Linked DNA regions of Daphnia pulex. The protein of the gene in region 2 interacts with the protein of the main gene of each other region in a biochemical or structural test. Links are inferred from orthologs where the notes say so. Each region holds a gene or a part of one and is shown on either strand. Other genes may lie near its edges. The genes, in order: cell cycle checkpoint control protein RAD9A-like and DNA topoisomerase 2-binding protein 1-A-like.

Region 1 (4,192 bases), on a different chromosome or scaffold from region 2:
GCGAACCGGACGCAGCATTGAAGCATCCAGCTTTCAAGTACCAGTCAACATTAGAAAAGAAAAAACTGTTTATCAAAGGTACGTATTTGCGATCTTTAGGTACGAGCTTAATTTGTTTTTATCCCAAATCTATTTGATGTTATAACAGGCTTAGCTTTCACTACTACTAAAGAAGACTTGGAAGCTCTGTTTAAAAAATTTGGAATTCTGAAGGACGTTCGATTAGTAACGTTACGGAACGGTAGCGTTTAATAATCTAAATTAAATTTATTTTTTCTTTACTAACTTCTATTTAATTAAATATAAAGGAAAGCCCAAAGGTCTGGCTTACGTTGAATTCGAAGATGAAGTTTCAGCGACGATGGCTATGAACCAGACAGACGGAACTACATTCCAGGACAAAGTTTTGACGGTTGCGTTAAGCAATCCACCTCCACGTCGCGAAGACAGAAACCTGGACAAGGATGAACTATCTTTGGGTGGCGGAACACGGGTAAGGAGAACGCAAGTGTCGTTTGTTCCAAACGCCGTCCTTCGCCAGACATCTCAGTCTTCCACCATGCCGCCACCCGTCAGTGTTCCCGCCAGTGCTTCGAAGAGCAATGCCGATTTCCGGTCCATGCTTCTAAAGAAATAATTTGAAAATGACATTGAAATGGCACGAATAAATAAAAAATGGACTGATCAACATTTAATGGCACTTTAACTTTTGTGATCATTATATAGGATACAGTGATGTACCGTTACAAAATTCTGACACAAAACAATACTGAGTTAACTCGGCGAAAGAAAAATGTACAAAATCGTTGGATGAGGGGAAAGCCGGGAAAGGGTTATTTCGTCTCTTGCTATTCATCTTCCTCTGAATCCGGAGCAAAGACTTCAGTTGGTCGCTCTCTGTATTCTTGTGTTAACTTGAGACAATTCTGAAATATGTAGCGAGCCCGAGCTCTCTTATTAGGAGGTGGTTGAATTTCGGGTTCCAAATCTACTTCCATATCAGGAAACGGATGGGGCTCGATAAGAGATAGACTGTTAAGACGTGGGGTATGATCCTCGTTAACAGGCGTTTGTCGTATCAAAGGTGTGTGTAAACGAGTGTGTGTCGTGCTTGCACGAGAACCGTTCCTAGAATCGACCAAATTGGCACGCGAAATGGTCCTGGAATCTAGAAAATTCACGAGGAGAGCAATGTATGTCAAGATCCTGACTTCCCTTTCAAGCCTGTTTTGTTACCTGTTTTATTCCTCAGGGTAGGGACAGGAGACGGATGGTTGGAGGTATTGCCTTGTACTGACATTTCGTGTTTGGCAGTTCGCGAACTAATGGATGCCGTAGTGTCCAGAGCAGGCGTTAGAGTTGCAAGGAGAAAATCTGCTGAATACAAGTCATCCTTTTGTAGACTGAACAAAACAGGCCTGGTAGAAGGAATTCCGTAAATAATCGATGCAACTTTTGAATCACAAGTAAAATGAAATATTGCTTACTGTCCGGCGCCTTCCATTCGACAATCAAGATCGAGTTTCAGGGCTTCTGCGAAGGCCAAAATAGCTCGTAATTCCTTCAAGCAAAATGTAACTTGAGTACACAGAGCGACGTTAAATTCAATGAATTCATCCTTGACCAACGTGACTTCCGTACGAACACATTTGGATGGGTCTATTTCATCATCAATATGGTTACTCAAATGTACTTGATCCATTGCAAGGGACCTTGAAAGAATAAACGAAATTTGAGGTTATTTAAACATGACAATTATGTTGTTGGATTACCAAGTAACTTCTTGAGTGCTTGAATGAAAACTTTGAAGAGTTTCATTGTAAAAACGTGAAGAGCAGGAAAATTTACTGGGGTAACCCTCCTTAGAGAATTCTGCCTATGAATTTTTAGGTTATTTTCATTAAAAGTCTGGCGAGACCAAATCAAAGGACTTACTTCAACACTTTCACATTCAAAGTATCTTAAGTTGAAGTACTTAACAATTCCATGTTTGCACCTGAACTCAATGATTAACAGAGCCTCAAGAAGTGGTAGCATTATCTTACATGTTTCAACTGATTTTTCCAAGCTTCCGATCGACCTAAATACAGACAAGATGGACTGGAAACAAAACATCATTGTAAACACACAATACTTCACATTAAAGTTATTTGTCAGACCTTCATGGGAAGTTTACATTTAATCACAGTATCTTCTTCTGGATCAGCGTGAACAGTATTTTCACTTATGTGCGTGTAGTCAAGAAAAAAAGGTAGGTGAAAATTGAAAGCTGAATAGGCAGATTTGGAAGCATTGACGGTCTTCAGAGTTAATCCATTTTCCATTGGTGAAATGTGCAATTCATCACCTATCTTAGCCAATGAGTGTATGGCTCGCGCCAAAACTAAAGAATAAAAGAAAGTGTTTTAGCTTTCAACTGCTTTAGTACAATCAAATGAAACATCATGTCGTACCCTTAACACTGGTTGCATCCAAAAGACATTTCATTTTTCTTTACTTCAATGTAAATTTAGTTGTTTGCACTAAAAAAAAATTCGAAATGCCGCCAGAAATTATATCGGTAACCCCATGTCCCGGATAACACGTTTAGAATGTTTAGCACGCAGACGACACGGAAATGAATTTTTTCAAGTATGCCCCGATTGGCTGTTGAGATTTTATCTTCACTGAAGATGTAAACAAATGAAACAAGTGACGAGCGTGACTCGTATTATTTCGGCCACATCTGCAAGTCACTGAAACTTGATTGTACTTTTAACCATAGATAAAGAAGACGGTCTTATCTGCTGAGGTACTTCAAGGAAATTTTTTTTCCCCTTGATTTATCAATGGTTTTCAATTATAACATTCTGAAACATTGGAAGACTTTCAATTACATCAGCTTTTCCGCTGTCCAATTCCTGCTGATTACATTCTGAAAAGTCATGGGGCGGAGCTTAAGAACAGCTGTGTAGTGTTAACTAGAGCACAGAGTGTAAACGTTTGTGAATAACTTACTTGTACTGCATGACTTTCTAAGGTAATAACAAATAAAATTTAAACTCTTTCATGATTCAGAATACAAAACATTGAAGTTAATGTTGGTCTGATATTCTGATTACCAATTTACCAATAATTCATTGGATTCTCCATAAACTATTTCACAGATGAGTAAACAAGGTCCTCCTCCAGCTGCCCCTCCTTCTTACATGGAAGCAGTGGGTGGTGTTAATCCATCAAGCCCCTTTACTCCTCATCAAAGTAAAGCATTTTTTTAGTATTTTAACTTTTAATGGGAAATGTGCCTCACATTCAAAATCACAATGTTTATCTCTTTTAATAGATGTAACCAACCAGCAGCCTATTATTGTGACAACCGTGATACCTGTTGGACCCGGAACAACACACACTGTTAGTTTTTCCCTCCACAGTTAATTATATATTTTATTTTCTCTATCTTCTTTCTTTACAGGTCTGTCCACATTGCCATGCTGAAATTGACACTTCTGTGCGTACTGAACCTGGTCTGATTGCCTGGCTTTCTGGAGGTCTTTTAGTTCTATTTGGGTATTACACAGTCAGCAATTTCTTAAGAGTTACACATTGATATAACACATATATTTTTATTACCAGATGTTGGTTGGGCTGTTGCCTTATCCCCTGCTGTATTCCTGAGTGCATGAATGTTCATCATGCTTGTCCAAATTGCAAAGCATACTTGGGGAGATACAGCCACTTTTAAGCTAATGTTCTTACTATGAAGAGGCAATTGGTTCTTTCTGTGTGTTAAATTTCATATTCATTTTTGGCAAATTTGGTTGTTGCATCTTGTATGCCAAAATTTACCTTTTTCCTAATTACACGAAGCTTTTCAATTTCAAAATTTCAAACAATAGAAATGCTGAACGTTGTATTATTCGTACCTTGCTTCAATATCTACTCCGCTTACTTATTAAAATCAAAGATACGCCGTGTTAATTTTATCACCAAAATTTATCAATGAATAAACTTCGAATATATTAAAATTGTCGTTTGTAATTTAAATTTTAAATTCATTGAAAAACGTTTTGTTCGACTGGGACAAAAAACCTATATTCCTTTTCTTAACTGAATTTTTTTAAATTAATTTGAATCTTGCAGTGCCGTAGTTTATTAATTATTTTTATGCTGCTCGTTAAATATATAGAAAATGTTATTCCTATGGAAAAAAGTT
Region 2 (2,810 bases):
TTATAATAGAGTTAAATCTTGCTTTGATACGTTGCGCAATCCAAAAAATTATTGCATTTGCACTACTCATTATCTTTTAATGTAATTCATGTAGAGTACTGAAAAATGTAACAGTTTTAAATATTTTTACAGCAGATTCACGATTGAAATGGATGCATTGAGAAAAATTGTAAGACCCGTGTGCAGCAACCTGCAACAACTCTTTATGTTTTCACCTGCTGTTTTCCCTGTGACAGTGTCAAGAACATTTAGTGCATTATCAATGAGAATTCCCCAAACTCTGAATGTGCAAAATCAACTGTTAACTCCTACTGTTCCTTCACTAGTTCCTAGTTGTGGATTCAAAGTTGTGGGGAAACCGATGAAACGTTGCAAAGACTGCTACAAAGTGGTGAGACAGGGAAGGGTTCATATCATTTGTAAAACTAAACCAAGGCATAAACAAATGTCAATGAAGAAAGATGAAGACAAAACCTGGATACTTACATCTGCAACAATGGGGCCTAAGCGTCTTTGGTAGTTTTGTCATCATTATGTACTAGTTATCAATACAATTCTGCAGGAAACTAGAAATGATTGTATTTCATGGACTTATCTAAGTATCTTTAAACATTTTCTTAAAAAAAAAAGGTATTTTTCACATTAGATTATTCAAATAAAAAGAAAGATAGTTAAGAAGAAGGCATGTTTTCGAGATAAGGAAGAAATTCTTGTAAAACAGACTTGCTCCATTTTAACTTCTTGTCAGTAGCCAGAACAAGATTTCTGAGATAAATCAATGGAACGCAATAAATGCCTCTATTGGCAAACGATGACAACTGCAACTTTTTCGCTTCGCGAGAATCCAAAATGCACAAGTTCGTCTTCTTGTTTTCCAAAGCCGAACTAGAAGAAACGTATAAATAAATGAAAATAATGAATGAAAGAAAACTCTGAACATCCTTATTATCATACCCTTGGTCAACCACCTTTCCGCCACCAGCTTCAAGTAAACGCTGGAAAGAAGCATTTTTCTCGCGAAGGTATAAAACAGCGGTAATTCCGTGAAAAGGGCCACCAGATACTCCTTGACTGCGATTAATACGCCAATAATATGCAGCCGCAGCAATGTTAGCTTCGTCCTCGGTAATGGATTCGGATTCTGGGTAATCCACCGTGGCTTCTGGATTGCCCCATTCAAATTTAGCTTCCTCAAGGAAACGTTTTTCTTTTTCGCTTTCAATCAGCCATTCTGGATGAAGGATCCATTTTCCAGCAGCGATCGACGTCAACAATTTTTCATTAGATCCAACTTTGGCGACGACAAGGTGAGTACACGTTGGGTCGTATTGGTTGGATTCAAGAACGGTTCCTCCCAACTCTTCGATAACAGCAGTACAGCTTTCACGATCGTCTAGTGCCATTCCAGAGAACATGACACGATACGTCTGAGTATTGTTTAGCTGTGAACCGGTTGGCTTTTGTGTCTCGTGAAGATCCCACACAATTGGAGCAGATTGCGAATCTACCGTTTCCAGAGGTTGCGTTGCGGGAACGAAGACGTGTTCAGGTCCTCTACCGTTTCTAGCCCCCGAAACGTTTGTAACCTTTTGCAGAGGAATCTGCTCAGCTGAACGTGATAGCACTTGGTCTAGTTGCAAAAGTTCTTTGCATGCTTCTTCCTCTACGTCTGGGACGACAAGATTCTCTTGTTCTTCATTAGTTTCAAGAAGGTCGTTTTCACGTGGCTCACTATCAGATGATAAGCGCTTACGGGAAGGAATTCTAGGAGTACCCGTTTCGCTGGAACTGGCAGGAAGGCGTCGCTTCTGGGTACAACTAGACGGCGGTGCAGGTTGCGAATTGAAATTCAGTGACAAAGCCATTTTCGGATTCAAAGATGGTGGATAATGCGATTCTTCTAGACGATTCGAAGTATCTTCACAGTCTAGGATCCATTGTGGTGAGACAAATTTCTGGTGCCAATCTTTTGCGCTTCGAATCTCTTTGGATGCAGCTAGCTTGCCCTGATATATGAAATGAGTTACCTCCTCGCAGTGTTGGAAACGAACCTTGCCACCCAGATTTTCAACTGCTTTTACCAACTCGGTTCTTTGGTCTTCAACTTTCTTGTGTATGAATGCCACCACTCCATGAAAAGGTGGCTTTGGTGGTTCTAAGGGTGATGCTGCCGCTGAATTTTCCTCATCCGGTTTCCACATGGCTTGTGCTTCAACTCCACTTTCATCAAGACGCAATTTTTTCCGTAAATTCAAGAAATAATCCGAGTCTTCGGGGGAAACCACAATTTCTCCTTTCTGAATATCTTGTGGGGTAACGTTAAGGGATTCGTCCGCGCGAGGCGTCAAACGAACTCGATTTTCCAATGCATGTTTCCACAATTTTCGAGTTTCGGGTGACGGGTCCGTCTACAAAGAAGAAAAATGCTGATTCCTTTCTGACGATTAAAAATTACAAACTAAAACATTACGTTTAAAAGCCTTCCATATGGTGTATCGGGTGTAGGCATGTTAAAAAGAGATGGTCGAGCTTGAGGTGTTCTACCAATATTATTTGCACTAAACGGATTCTGTTGTAAACACGTAGGAGTGTCAGAGACAGCCGGTCGTGGTGGCATGGTAGGAGTCGCTGAGGTCACCTGTTAAGGAGAACTATTAGAAAAAATAATCATAAAATAATTTAAACAATAACAAATCATACTGGAGTATGCGGCGAAGACATATCAAAGTGAGCCGGTAAACGGCGGGCACTAGGTGTTTCTGATTGTTTCTGCTTCAAAGTCTTCAAAACGACAGACTCTGCAGGTTGTC

Evidence for each region.
Region 1: the proteins of DNA topoisomerase 2-binding protein 1-A-like (region 2) and cell cycle checkpoint control protein RAD9A-like form a complex in vitro, tested with the Homo sapiens proteins (4 studies listed by BioGRID). The link is inferred for Daphnia pulex from reciprocal best matches to the Homo sapiens genes TOPBP1 and RAD9A.

The regions. Positions count from the first base shown.
Region 1 is NC_060026.1:14,699,046-14,703,237, reverse strand, and holds cell cycle checkpoint control protein RAD9A-like, read right to left. Parts: upstream 2,696-4,192; 5' UTR 2,488-2,695; coding exon 2,454-2,487; intron 2,384-2,453; coding exon 2,160-2,383; intron 2,101-2,159; coding exon 1,936-2,100; intron 1,877-1,935; coding exon 1,773-1,876; intron 1,713-1,772; coding exon 1,488-1,712; intron 1,419-1,487; coding exon 1,225-1,418; intron 1,169-1,224; coding exon 849-1,168; 3' UTR 677-848; downstream 1-676. Other genes in the region: squamous cell carcinoma antigen recognized by T-cells 3-like, read left to right, coding at 1-78, 149-241, 309-637; lipopolysaccharide-induced tumor necrosis factor-alpha factor homolog, read left to right, coding at 3,147-3,240, 3,323-3,390, 3,452-3,546, 3,613-3,721. UniProt on the Homo sapiens protein: Component of the 9-1-1 cell-cycle checkpoint response complex that plays a major role in DNA repair. The 9-1-1 complex is recruited to DNA lesion upon damage by the RAD17-replication factor C (RFC) clamp loader complex.
Region 2 is NC_060022.1:4,609,063-4,611,872, forward strand, and holds the end of DNA topoisomerase 2-binding protein 1-A-like, read right to left. Parts: coding exon 2,701-2,810; intron 2,639-2,700; coding exon 2,471-2,638; intron 2,409-2,470; coding exon 955-2,408; intron 886-954; coding exon 672-885; 3' UTR 558-671; downstream 1-557. UniProt on the Homo sapiens protein: Scaffold protein that acts as a key protein-protein adapter in DNA replication and DNA repair. Composed of multiple BRCT domains, which specifically recognize and bind phosphorylated proteins, bringing proteins together into functional combinations.